Linked DNA regions of Schizosaccharomyces pombe. The gene in region 1 interacts genetically with each later gene. Each region holds a gene or a part of one and is shown in the gene's direction. Other genes may lie near its edges.

Evidence for each region.
Region 2: mutations in bsu1 (region 1) and thi9 impair growth when combined (synthetic growth defect), as found in Schizosaccharomyces pombe (one study listed by BioGRID).

What each region holds. Positions count from the first base shown.
Region 1 is NC_003424.3:3,547,046-3,554,307, forward strand, and holds bsu1 (vitatmin B6 import carrier Bsu1), read left to right. Parts: upstream 1-2,988; 5' UTR 2,989-3,106; coding exon 3,107-4,687; 3' UTR 4,688-5,022; downstream 5,023-7,262. Other genes in the region: poly(A)-specific ribonuclease complex subunit Pan3, read right to left, coding at 7-107, 222-234; TLC domain-containing protein Tlc4, read right to left, coding at 5,822-6,694.
Region 2 is NC_003424.3:1,479,152-1,486,914, forward strand, and holds thi9 (plasma membrane thiamine/proton high affinity transmembrane transporter Thi9), read left to right. Parts: upstream 1-3,267; 5' UTR 3,268-3,682; coding exon 3,683-5,458; 3' UTR 5,459-5,601; downstream 5,602-7,763. Other genes in the region: homocysteine methyltransferase Met26, read left to right, coding at 1-1,770; SPOM_SPAC9.11 (uncharacterized protein), read left to right, coding at 6,667-6,736, 6,795-7,711. UniProt on the Schizosaccharomyces pombe protein: Thiamine transporter involved in the cellular uptake of thiamine. Pyrithiamine, oxythiamine, amprolium, and the thiazole part of thiamine have been shown to be also substrates of thi9.

The sequences.
Region 1 (7,262 bases):
ACATACTTGATTTTTATGTTGAAAAAAACACCCCTTATCTATGTATGGACATCTTCCATAAAGTTGTTCATTTCTACAGGGAATGTTGGTTGAGAATATGGATGATCCTGATTGAACATGTAAGCTTATGTTTGAAATAAGAGCAAAAAACTCGCCAATAAAATTAATTATACTAAACGTTTCTCTTTGGAAATTTCTTTTATTAAAAAATAATCACTTACGCCTTTCATCCATTTTTCCAACATTATTTTATAATAGCGGTTGTTGTATGTGGGTGTACGTTGGGCGCTCTATGCCAGCTCTAGTACCCTACGAATAGATGATGGTAATAGAACAGTAGTTTGGTTGCATGCTTCAAGCATTTGGTTTTATAAAATAATTTACTTTGATAAAAAGAATTAGTTAGGAGTTAAGACCGTTAGGTGTTTAGGTGCGTTTCCTTTACGAATTGCATATAATAGTAAAGTAGCTATCTTGGGAATGTCAAACGAGTTGTTGCTAAGATGATTTTTAACAAGGTAAACTACAGTATTAACCCATTGCTTGTACCTTGATCGATAAGTCTGCTGCCAGCTATAAGTGGTCTAAACATTAGCTAGGTGCATATTGCCGACAATCGCTATGAATAAAAATGCATTGTTAATTCAATTTATCAAGGGGAAAGCATTGCAATTGATCGAAACGAACGGTTAAGCAAAGTTAACATCAAGTTAGATAGTTGATGTTTTTGATGGTTTATAGACAGTTTGTCTTCACGAACAAATCACTTCGTTCAATTGCAATCAAGGAAATAAATTGGCGTGAATGAAAAAAAAAAACATGAAAATAATTCATATTGGTTTCAAAAAAAGATGAGCCTACAGCACCCCGGATTCCCATGTTGTCTCCAACCATAGTACCAACGAGGCCCTCAGACGCTTAACTGCAGTGATCGGACGGGAACTGGTGTTTTCGCCTACGTATGGCCGTAGACATTGAGTTTAGTAATTAATAATATATATAGTATTCTTGGATAATGTTGGTAAAGAGAAAATTGCTTAATTTGTAAACTGCGAGTAGCCAAAACAATAATATTTGCCAATAACAAAGCAAGTTTTACAGTATTCATTTCCCAACCCAAGGAGTTTTGAATGGGGAATATTCAACAAAAAGAGTTTCGACTTAATACTTCCTGTTACTCTTGTGAATCCTCAATTTTGAAGTCAGCTTTGTCAAGACACATACAGTTCATGTTTATATTTTAATCATACTATTATTTGTCAGGATTTCTCAATTATATTCTTTGTTTACTTGAAATTGATCTCCAGGGAAATCTTGTTTTTTAAAAATCTGGCTGCTGTGAAGTAATCTACTAGTTAGTTTTTCATTTTATTTTAGCTTGTAATTTTATTGAGTGATGGCATTTTCAATTGTAGTAAATAATTAGGGAATCACTTGCAGCAATCAAGAATTGCAATTGAACGATTAACGAGAACGATACAGTTAGGTTTTTTTTTTTTTTTTTTTTTTTTTTTTTTTTTTGAAAATAAACATTGACCTTAAGGTATGTTCTTTTCAAAATTAATTTTTATCTGATGAACAAACCTGGGTCTCAGCTACATTTGTTATCTACTTATACCATTTTGCTGAATGAATTCATTTTTTATTCATTGCAAAGTTTTGGTATGTTGAAGATGTTGAAAAAATAAATAAATAAATAACACATAACTGTAAGATTAGATAGACAAAAGAAATTTCTAGATTTAATTTTATCCTATTTTATATTTTTTGTTGCAAAAGATTTCATACGTGAACTTGTCAAAATAGATACAAAAGAAACAAGAAAAATAAAGAGTAGAAAAAAAAAAAAAGAAAAAAAAAAAAAGAATTAAAAAGAAAAGAAAATTCATATTATCTGGTTGCTTCAATCCATATTTCTAACTTTTCCTCATTAGGATCTATCTCATTATAACAATACTTAAAGCCACTACAAAGATATGCTACGTAAATCAAAACACACCGTATTTGCACTATTACATTGCTAAACTAGTCCACGATAAAAAAATAGTGAAGCGTAACCTAATTCACTAACGTACTAACACCATCTGATAAAATGGTTCATTAAACAATCTCGGGAAACTGCGTGCGTCTGTGCGCGCTAGCATCTAAACATTACAGCGTGCCGAATACCAACATCAACAACATTGTAAAAATACAAACAAATAATAGACGATTGAATTGTTATTGATGTAACATCGTTTATAAAACTTGTGCCTTTTTAGAATACTTATCATCTTACTGAATAAGAAGAAAATACTTAACAATCTTTATTTCTGGGTATTTGCCAACTTGGTAGGGCGATCAAACTTCAAATTGTACCCGATGAACTGATAATTTAAAGGAAGGTCCCGAATCAAATGAAACTCCTTTTGTTGACATTTTGGTTAAAACGGTTCAGCGTTCCATGATTATTTTCTTTTTTTAGTAGTAAGTAGGTTCATCGGGGATTAAATGGATCCATCAGACTCAAACCTCTTTTCCTAGCAATTTTCAGTTTAACAATTAAAACCAAAATTAAGAGGATACAAGAGATGCTTAGTTGGGACACTTTTTTGTTAAGAGGTTCTCTCACTTTATCTGCCAAAAATTTGCAATCTCAAGCACCCATTACTACATTTCCCTTAATGTTCAATAGCATGCATTTTTAATCTTCTAAACTTATCGATAGAATTCTTCTAAAAATGAATTCCTTTCTTTCGATGATCATACTAAAAATTTCACAATTCTTAACACTTTCGCTACAGACTACCGACGGTATTCGCTTGCCGAACGATGCTTTTCAAACTCTGATGTTTCTCATTAATTGCGTTTGTCTGTAAGAATAGCGCTTTCAAATATGATATTGCCAGTTAGTGAACAACCGGAATCTTGTTCCGGCGGTAATGTGCGTGAAGAACAAAATGTTTGAATACATATATTGAACGCAGGGACCAATGGAATTTTCATTATCAACCTTAACAAGCTATTTTTCCTTTATTTTTAGTTGATTTTTCTATACCCCTTGAGCTTAGCTTCATAAGGGTAAATAAGGAATAAAGTACTAGTTTTCTTGTGAGGCAAAACAATCATGGCCAGTAAAATTGCGAGTTTATTTTCTCCGTCTGAAACGGCCTCTAAGGATCAACATGAAAATGTTGCAGAGGATTTGGAGTTAGGCACTGCCTCCTCTCAATCAGATGGAATTCATGAAACCAATTCTGAATATGATGAAAAAAAGAGAGAGGAATCGCCCGAGGTTATCGACATATCAAATTTAATTTCTTCTGATCACCCGGCTCACCCTCAAAACTGGCATTGGGCCAAACGTTGGAGTATTGTATTTATGTTTTGTTTAATGCAGATCTATGTTATTTGGACAAGCAATGGGTTTGGCAGTATTGAGTACAGTGTTATGGCCCAATTTAATGTGTCTGCTCAAGTAGCTACATTGTGCTTAAGTATGAACATCTTGGGTAGTGGATTGGGTCCTATGTTTTTGGGCCCGCTGTCTGACATTGGTGGCAGGAAGCCCGTTTACTTTTGTTCCATTTTCGTTTACACAGTCTTTAATATTTCGTGTGCTCTACCCCGTAACATCGTTCAAATGATTATTTCCCATTTCATCATCGGTGTTGCTGGTAGTACTGCTTTGACAAACGTTGCAGGTGGTATTCCAGATCTTTTCCCGGAAGACACAGCTGGTGTTCCAATGTCTTTGTTTGTTTGGGCTTGTGCAGGAGGTGCAATTGGTGCGCCAATGGCTACAGGAGTAGACATTAATGCCAAGTATGGCTGGCGTTGGCTTTATTATATTAACATTATCGTTGGTGGCTTTTTCCTTATCGTGATTCTAATTATTCCTGAAACCTTACCCATTAAAGTTATTACAAGATATGAAAATGCCAAGGGCCGAATTGTAGAAGGAATTCCTAAAAACAATTTGAAGGAAGTTTTGAAGAAATGTAAATTCGTCACTACCATGGGATTTCGAATGATGCTTACCGAACCCATTATTCTTTCAATGGGTTTATACAACTTTTACGCTTATGGTATTTCCTATTTTTTCTTGACTGCTATTTGGCCCGTGTTTTACGACACCTATAAAATGTCGGAAATGGGTGCTAGTTGTACGTATTTATCTGGGTTTGTTGCTAGTACTCTCCTGTTCTTGTATCAACCAATTCAAGATTGGATTTTCCGCAGAGATAAAGCAAAAAACAATGGTGTTGCTCGTCCCGAAGCTAGATTTACCAGTGCTTTGTTTATTACGTTATTGTTCCCTGCAGGAATGTTCTTGTTTGCATTCACTTGTCATCCACCTTTCCCCTGGATGTCTCCGATTGTTGGTAATAGTATGGTAACAGTTGCGAATGGTCATAACTGGATGTGCATTCTGAATTACTTGACTGACTCTTACCCTTTGCTTTCTGGCTCAGCCGTTGCCGCTTTTACTCTTCCTTCCTTTATTGGGGCTACTGTTTTCGCCCATGTTAGTCAAATCATGTTCAATAACATGAGCGTCAAATGGGCTGTTGCAACTATGGCTTTCATTAGTATTAGTATTCCTTTTATTATTTACACATTTTATTTCTTTGGTCAAAGAATTCGGGCACTCAGTTCGCTTACAGGCAACAAGGCATTAAAATATTTACCTCTCGAAAACAACTAGTTTACAGTTGTTTTGTTTTTTAATCCGGTTGGGAACTTTTTTGTTTGTTTGGAACATAATTACGCGTATAGATTTTAAGAACCGTATAAAACTATCATGGCTGTCTTTGGATAAAAATTAATAAACGGTGATTAATGAGGAGTTGTTTCCCTCGCCTTTTTTTTTACCTACTGTAGTAATTGTTAATTGTGTTTTTATTATTTTTCAATTTATTTATTTACCTGAGTCTTAAATTTCTATCATTGCAAAACGTAGTGGTCATTTTTCAACTTGGAAGAACTTGAGAAGAAGGCTAAATTATGTATGTATAAATATACATATGAATACAACATACGAAATAAATACGTAAAGTCTACTGGTCTAGTTAATTAATAAAGAATAACCTAAACCGTTTCATTTAAACAAACTCATTTCTCTTTGCTAATGCCTTCCTTCACTGACCATGTTTGGCGGCATAATAAGTAATAAACGCTTTAGTTATAACAAGAATATCATTTACAAGTAATGTGCAACAGTTTCTTAGACAGTTTTGTACAAAAACAATAATTTATCATATTTCTATTACAATGTTAAAAGCGTTAATGCGATTTATTACTCGACAACTTTCAACAGTTTACACCGTCAGCAATTATCGTTTTAATGAATTATGGTTAATTAAGAACTCAATAAAAAGGAACAGTAGAAGACGTGTAATCCAAACAAGGCTAGAAAAGGTATATAAGTAAACCCTGAAATTCACTAAGGGAATAATTCTACTACATCCGGAATTTAAAAGATGAGAGATAAAGCGAATGTGATGTATAAGGAGACTAAAAAAGAATTAAATATTTGGTTGCTTAGAAATCAATAGCCTTATGAAGAGCGAATAGAGGTTCGCAAAGTCTCATAAATACATAGCCAAGAAGAATGGAAGATACATCAAAGAACAGGAATTCAAATCAAATAATTTATCAAAACAAACGTCTATCGTCAAATCAAATAGCTCTAATTAATATAAAAAACCAAAGTATTTGACTTAAATCCCAAGCCAAGTATTCATAAATAAATCGGGAAAAAATATACTATTTTTTTCAATAATAAAAATCATTGAAGGTACCTATTCAAAGAACCAAATGTGGAGAATGACACATACTTTCAAATGTTTTTCTTGGCATACTCAGATGTAACTTGCAAAGGAGTACTTTTCTTTTCTCCATGAGCGCGACGACGAATAGCATCAATCATTTTGGAAACCCAGAAAAGATTTAAACAATTGAGAGACATGTTAGCAGCAAGGTAGAAAAGACTCAAAGCCCAAGGAGCAACATTGATATGATTGAGAATTTCAATAGCAGTGCTGTAAGCAGAGAACCATCCCCAAGCGATACGTACGCAGATGAAGGTCACAATAAGAATGAAACCATTAATCATTTGAAATTTCGAGCCAGTACGGTTGGTTTTGTCTAAGAAGTAATGGATATTGAGAAAAGGGGTGCTAAGTTCCCAAGAGAGATAAGTAGGGCCATAATACATTAGGTATGGTCGATAACTAAAAGTAATAACAAACAAAGCAGCAATGGCATGAATGACAAATCCAATACCAGTAATGTGAACATAACGAACTGTGATGTAAAGATCCCATACAAAGTATCCAGCAGTCAAGGCGTATATGTCACCAGCCACAACAGAATATCCAAATAATTTATCGGGAAATGCATTGACCTCCTTCAAGCAAGTATACCCAAGGCAAATCAAGACAATACTTTGCACCGAACTGACAACGTGGGCGTCCCAATTCAACCGAGTCTTCTTCGATAACTTGGCATAATGGGTACTCAAATGTCTAGAGATAACTGGCGAAAGGATGTTTATGATTTGATAAAACAAAGCGCTCAGCAAAATAACATGCATGTGTCGAGGTAACTTGGTAAGACCAAAGCGGTCGCAAAACGGTTTAACAAACTCTTCTAAAGCAATTGGGCCACGAGGCAATAAGCCTTGGTCGGAAGGAGTGACTGCGGACGACATGGTGCAAAAATTCGAGACTTTTATGGTAGTGCGATCAACCTGATTTGTGTCGTTTCGTAGCGATAACAAACAAAGAAAATGAAGCAATTAAAGCTAGAGAATCAAGATAATAATAATAAATATAAATATATAGTTTTTCAAATATATATTATACCTATGCAATCGTAAAGGAATGGGAATACTAATAGACACAAATATCAAAGCAACAAAATCAATCAATCAATTCCAGTCTAATCCGTTCTTAATACAAATTCCTTCTTAATCTTATGTACAAGTATGGAAATCGTATGAATCAATGCTCAAATTCTCACTTTACAAGTGTAAAGATCGTGGGTTACACAGCACGTTTATGTTGGTAAAGGGTAGGTAGTAGGGCACAGGTGTGGGAAAACACTTCTTAAGCAAATGTTCGCACAAAAGCGATTTTGGCGCGTGTTAGTGAGAAATATCGAGAGAGTCGGTAGCTACAAGTAAAGAAATTTATGTTTGCTGGATAAATGTCAAATGGTCCGATGCATCAGCAGATGTTGGTCCATTCCCCAAACCAACTCTTGGATCTCCGGCAGTG
Region 2 (7,763 bases), 2.1 Mb from region 1:
AAGGCCGCCAAGGGTTCTAGCATTAAGCCTATTGAACTCTTGCCCAAGCTTTTACCCGTTTATGTTGAGCTTATCAAGAAGCTTACTGAGGCTGGTGCAGAGTACATCCAAATTGATGAGCCTATCCTTACTCTTGACTTGCCCCAAGAGATCCTTGCTAGCTACAAGGAAGCTTATGAGACTCTTGGTAAGATCGGTAAGCTCATTTTGACCACCTACTTCGGCTCTCTTCAAAGCAATGCCGATGTTTTGAAGGGTCTCCCTATTGCTGGTGTCCACGTTGATGTCGTTCGTGCTCCTGAGAACTTGGACCGTGCTCTTGCCGTTCTCGGTGAGAACCAAATCATCTCTGTTGGTGTCGTTTCCGGAAGAAACATCTGGAAGACTGATTTCCAAAAGGCCACTGCCATCATTGAGAAGGCTATTAGCGCTGTCGGCAGTGAGCGTGTGCAAGTTGCTTCTTCCTCCAGCATTCTTCACATTCCTCACTCCCTTTCTGGCGAAGACCAAATTAATCCTGAAATTAAGCGTTGGTTCGCCTTTGCTGTTGAAAAGTGTGCTGAATTAGCTATTCTTACTAAGGCTGCTAATGACGGCCCTGCCTCCGTTCGTGCTGAACTCGAGGCCAACGCTGCTGACTGCAAAGCTCGTGCTGAGTCTCCCATCACCAATGTTGAGGCCGTTCGTGAACGTCAAAGCAAGGTTACTCCCCAAATGCATGAACGTAAGAGTCCCTTTGAGACCCGTTATGCCAAGCAACAAGCTTCCCTTAAGCTTCCTCTTTTCCCTACCACCACTATTGGCTCTTTTCCTCAAACCAAGGAAATTCGTGTAACCAGAAACAGATTCGCTAAGGGTCTCATTTCTCAAGAGGAATATGATGCCTTCATCCGTAAGGAGATTTCTGATGTTGTCAAATTCCAAGAGGAAGTTGGTCTTGACGTTCTGGTTCACGGTGAACCCGAGCGTAACGATATGGTTCAATACTTTGGTGAAAGAATGGAGGGCTTTGTCTTTACTGTCAACGGTTGGGTCCAATCTTATGGTTCCCGTTGTGTCCGTCCTCCTATCATTGTCGGTGATGTTTATCGTCCCGCCCCTATGACCGTTAAGGAGTCTCAATATGCTCAATCCATTACTTCTAAGCCTATGAAGGGTATGTTGACTGCTCCCATCACTATTCTTAGATGGTCTTTCCCTCGTGACGATGTTCATGACTCTGTCCAAGCTCAACAAATTGCTCTTGGTCTCAGAGATGAGGTCCTTGATCTTGAAAAGGCTGGTATTAAAGTCATTCAATGTGATGAGCCTGCCTTACGTGAAGGTCTTCCTCTTCGTCGTGCCGAGTGGGATGAGTATCTCAAATGGGCTATCGATGCTTTCCGTTTGGCTACTGCTGCTGTTCAAGATGACACTCAAATTCACTCCCATTTCTGTTATTCTGACTTCAATGACATTTTCGATGCCATTCAACGTTTGGATGCTGACGTTGTTTCCATTGAGAACTCCAAGTCTGACATGAAGTTGTTGAATGTTCTTAGCCGCTATACCTCTTGCATCGGTCCCGGTCTTTTCGATATCCACTCTCCTCGTGTTCCTCCTGTTTCCGAGTTCAAGGAGCGTATTGATGCTATTGTCAAGCATGTTCCTAAGGATCATCTCTGGCTCAACCCTGACTGTGGTTTGAAGACCCGTGGATGGCCTGAGACTACTGCTGACTTGAAGAACATGATTGCCGCTGCTCGTGAAGCTCGTGAGCAATACGCTTAAGTCACTTATTTTGAAGAAAAAGGACAATTTTTTTCCTTTATTTTCCATGATAATATTTAAAAAGGGGTTGTTAACCTTCAACATGGTTAACCGGTAATGAAACGAATGTTTGAAATGAAAATGTTTCTGAGGCTGCATAGCTGTTTTCTCATCAACTGAGGGTAACAAGTTGATATATTTTGCTATGTGATGGCGTTTTTGTTAATATTAGAATCTAATGAAAATACTTATAAATGGGTTTTCAGGTATTATTCGATGAATGTTTTGTGTATAACTGAATACAGTACGTTTGAATCTTAAGTAAGGATGTAGTCGACATGTAGGCGTGCTCTTATAACAGAGGTATCAAGTTTTTGGAATTTGTTGTAAAGTAGTTAAAGTAAATACTTGAAAGAATATGGAAAAGTGGGGTGAAATTGATTTTGCTGGATTTGCACAAGTGGTGATGGTAAACGTTACGAAAGTGTGTATCAAACATGCGATATTTCTATTTTGGTAGTAAGGACTTTTAAGGAAACATTTTGTGCTTTTTCTTCAAAAAAGTGGGCACTTAAATACTGGTGCCATTTATGAATTTGAATGTGATGTTTTCTACTGACACTTAAGTTTTCCTACATTAAGAGGATAGAAAAAGGAGCTGAGATCTCAAACGCTTTAAATAGTGAGAACTTGAAAATTGATTTAGTACTAGTTTTCTTGACATCCATAATCTTTTAAAGTTAGCATAAGATCACAACATTTTGTGTTCATGTAAACGTCTTCTTTTACTTAAATGGGATATCCACAAACCCGCACATGCTAGAAATAAATTGACTAAATGTTTTACATAAAACGTGGTGCCACGTGATGACAAATGTACATTTAACACAAGGAACTAGGTTGCACTGACTCAGTCTCCCTGTATCACCAGTATCCGACATAAATTGTCGCCTACTTGCATTCCACCTAAACTTTTTATCTTTTTCCACATTGTGATGGTACTCCAAAATTGCAAATCACAGAACGGCGTACCGGTAATGGATACCTGCTGCCCTATATGAAACCAAAGCTGCCCTTGTAGAATTCGAGATAGCTTACGCTGTTGCAGATTCAGTTCAATCAAGTAAATTATTAAAAAGAGAAATAATTATTTGTATTATAAGGTTATTAATATATATTGGATTAACAGCCTATGTATTCACCTAATGTACATATACGATAGTTAAATTGTTGACTATTTTCGCTAAGCACCGAGCTTAAAATGATGCTAAAATTTCCTCATTCGCCTTAGGTTGATTTGGCATATAAAAGTATTTCTCACCCATTAAGTGCCTAAATCGAGCTAAATTTCCATCGTCCACGATAATTTGAGCTCTTCTGATTTAACAAACACCCGTTTTATGTCAGATTGCCTTTTTCTGCCACCAACGTGTGAGACACATTTTTATTCATCAACCGGGTTCAAGCACCCGGGAACACCGGTTATATAATAACAAAATTTCGAGTCTGATTTTTCTTAAAACTTTTGCAAATTACTTTTCTTTTAATTATTTGAGAAGCTTGTTAGCGATATCTCAATCTTTGCTTTTAAAAAAAAACCAGTGTTGGAACAGTACAGTATTTCGTAAAGTGGCTGTTATAATTGACCTCACTGAATTTTAAAAAAAAATCGGTTACGCATAATCTTTGACAGATTTTGTTAAAAAGACGATAAGTTTCCTTTCTCGTCCTTTTGAAGAGGTTCATTCTTTTTTTTTTTTTTTAAAAATAAAGGCACATTTATTTACTAAATACTTATCGCCTTTAAGTGGGCTCTTTTGTTATAATCCAGCAAGAAGTTCAATCTATTTATTTATAAGGTTTTTTTATGAACGATTGAAAATTTCTTTTTCTTTCTGACTTTTTCATTTGCTATTATTACAATTGCTTCGCCATGCCTTCTTCACAAATAAGCCATCAAGATCCAGAGCTTGGACAAACCTCCTCAGGCTCTTCCAGTATCAAGGAGAAAGCAGAACCTCAGCTCTATGCTGGTCCCATCGACCCTGCTAGAAGGCCCGATGTCTTTCAAGAAGGATTTGAAGATGTTTCTGTCACAGACGACGATAATGATAATGAGTTATTACGGAAAATGGGCTATCAACCTGTGCTTCATCGTTCTTTTGAATTCTTTGAGAGTTTCGCTGCCAGTTTTGCTTCCTTAGATGTCGTTAGTGGTGTTCGCTTGACCTTTAGTTGGGGTATTTCATTTGGTGGTCCTGCTGCATATTGGTCGGCTATGTTGGTAACTGGATTTTGTTCAATCGTTACTGCCGCATGCTTAGCAGAAATTTGTTCTGCTCTTCCTGCCGCAGGTTCTATCTATTTGTGGGCCGCAGAATCTGCTGGTCCAAGATTCGGTCGTTTTGTTAGTTTCTTAGTTGCTTGGTGGTCTACTACCGCTTGGACTACATTTGTCGCATCGATCACTCAATCTACTGCCAATTTCATCTTTGCTGAAGTTAGCACGTTTAATAACCCTTGGCCTACTAACGACAGTGACGTTAAATTTCGTGCTGTTCAATGGATTGTAGCCGAAGTGCTTTTAGTGTTTACTATCCTTCTTAATCAAGTCCCACCTCGTTATTACAAATGGATCTTTAAAGCATCAATGTTATTGATGTTTATCGATTATGTAATGAATATTATTTGGGTCCCTGTTGCTACATCTAAAAAACCTGATGGCTTCAGGTCGGCCAAATGGGTCTTTACGGAAACCATTTATGACCAGGCTGGATATATCAAGGAGGTTGATGATGCCAACGGCAACCCCATCGCTTCACTTTCAAAAATCGTTCCAAAGGGCTGGCAGTGGTGCTTGTCTTACTTTGCTACTGCTGGTGTCATTGTGGGTTACGATGCATCTGGTCATATTGCCGAGGAAACTAAAGATGCCAGTATTAAAGCAGCTCGCGGTATTTTTTATTCTACCGTAACATCTTTTATCGTTGCTTTTAGTCTTGCTATCCTTTATCTTTTCTGTTGTCCTGACCTTGATACTTTTACAGCTATTTTATACAACGACAATTCTCCTCAACCATTTGTCAATTTTTACTCCTATCTTCTAGGACGCGGCGGACACGTGGTTATGAACGTTGTTATTATCCTCGAAATCTTCCTGAACGGTGTAGTTTCAGTTTTAGCTTGTAGTCGATTAGTGTTTGCAGTCTCGCGTGATGGCGTTCTTCCTTTTTCGAATTGGATTAGTCAAGTAAGTAAAACCGGTCAACCAAAGAATGCTATCACTGTTATCTACATTGTTTCAGCTCTTTTACTTTGCACCATTCTTCCTAGTGCAGTTGCTTTTACCTCCCTTGTTTCCGCCGCTGGTGCACCAAGTTTTGCTGCTTATGCTGTATTGGCGTTTTGCCGCCTCTTTATTACACGCGATAAATTCCCAAAAGGCCGTTGGTCTTTGGGTTGGTTAAGTAAGCCTTGTTTGGTCATTACATTGGTTTACAACTTGTTTGCTCTTGTTGTTAATGTTTCTCCTTATACTTATCCCGTTACAGGTCCTTCTTTCAATTATGCCGTTGTCATTATGGGTGGTGTTTCCATCTTCGCCATTATCTGTACGATTGTAATTCCCAAATCCAGATGGGTCGCAAATAGATATCGCTATGAATCGGATTCTGAACATAGTGCTAGCGTTAAAGAACTCAAGGTATGAGAGGTTCAACTGTTTCAATTTATTATTTCGTTTGGGGTTTTGGTTTATTTAATTTTCAGCTTTTTATTCAGAAATTCTATCGTCATTCTATTTTCTTTTTCCTTTATGTTATACGATAATATATTGAATAAAAGCATTTTCATTCATACTTATACACGTAAAATATCTTTAATTATGTAGTACTGTTCGCCTTGCGCTGCAATAATAATAAATTAAGATATGCTAATTTGTTAAATAAATAGACATGATTTTATTAAAATGCATACACATTCTAATCAAGTCCGGACTAGTACTGAACTATTTAATTATATCTAATAAATGTTGGAATTGAAATGTATTATTGTTTTTTAGGAAAAAATTAATAAAAAATGCTCCTGGTGAGGCTCGAACTCACGACCTTCCCCTGTGTCATAATATGAGAGGGATGCTACCACCGACTGAGCTACAGAAGCTTGTTGAACACCACTAGGAAATATGAATTAATGTAGCTCTTAAAATATGATTTTAACAACTACTGAAATTTGATATTTGTTGTAACTATGAATACCAAAAATACATCTTTAAAAGCAATGTAGTGAATGGTATTGATTAAATGTGTTTTACTGATAGAATGAATACTTAAAAGAGTCTCATATGCGCACTCTCTCAAGCATTGATACAAACTCCTCATGAATTTAGATTTTAACCTACGACTATTTGCACTTCATACTGCATCCAAAATATTTGCACTGGATAGAGGTTGTATGTTGTTAGCCTGGACTGAAGGCATATTATTCAAATTTCCTCAACTTGGTGATATTGAATATGTCTTTTTGGATTATTCTAATTTATGTAATTCTAACTTTGATAGATGACTATAAGTGAAATTAATAAAAAATTAACAGTACATTATATGACCATTATTTTTAATGTCAATAACATATAGTAATATGCATAAGTATATAAAAGTTGTACACGACTTATCGACATAAAGAGAGTTGCTTAGTTCCACTAATCGCACCTTATAAACAAATTGAATCTTTACTCGAATAAACAAGCTAAAGTTGTGAAAAGCGAAGTGAACTTTTCACTGTTTCAAGATAATCACGTTGACCTACTTTAGGAAGTTTTTAAATACACTAAGAATTGCAGATTTTCCTAGTTGGTACTTTTGTGTTTTTTGTCAAATCCTTATGACACTTGTTCAACCTTTTTTCTTTATTATATAAATGGATTCTGCTAACAAAAATACAAAAATATTTGCTGAGCAATTGGGTAATGACTTTACAATTTCAGTTGGTATGTAATGCCGTGTGTTTTTAATGGAAGATTAATAAGTTAATAAAATAAAATACAGATGATGAAGATATGGAAATGGAGTATCCGTTGCGTTCCTCTACGCCCACAAAAGTAATAGACGACCAACGAGAAATCTTGCTTCAGAAAGCATCGCGAATCTCTAAATTAGACGAAGCGCTTTGCGAGCTTAATAATGAATCTAATGGCTCAATAGATTTATCTATTGACAGCTTCATACCATCTTACGATGAATTCTTGCATAAAAAACTACTAAACGAGGATACTGGTCATGAAAGCAAAGTATCAGACCAAGTTAAGCAAGTCATCAGCACTCCTATGAGCACCTGCTTTGAGCAGTGGTTCGAAGGAGAAGAACAATCGTCTACGGGGAACAATCAAGATATATCCTACTCTAGCGTCAACTCTCTATCTCCAAAAAGACGAGGCATCTCTCTTATGTCCATTGATGCTAACAAATTGAGTCCTAAAAAAACTTCCCCAAATTCTGGATACATAACATCTCCTTTAAGGCATCCGATTTTACTTTCCGAAACAGAACCTGGAACCCCAACAAAAAATGATTCACCTGCTTATATCGGATTACCTTCACAACCCAATAGTATAACTACTTTGAATAACACTAACCAGAAATTCCAAGTTCCTGATAATGACAAACCACCTATGTCTTCATTAAATGAACTATCTGCATCCTACAAGCCTATCGTATTCGACTCTTCGCAGCATAAAACTCAAGGCACTGACAATAATGACTCTTTTTACCACGACGATACAAATTGCATTCATCTTTCACGTTTAGAAAAGATTCGGGAGCTTCTCACATTCGTACAGTTGGAACTTAAATATTATGTAGAACCTCTTAAGAAAGAATTACAAGAGACAAAGACTCTATTGGCTCAAAAGGAAGAAGAGATATCTAACCTAAAAGATAAATTACAAAATGCAGGATTATCTTAATTTATTCATTTACATTGATTCATGAATTAATTTTGGGTACCTTGTCAAAACA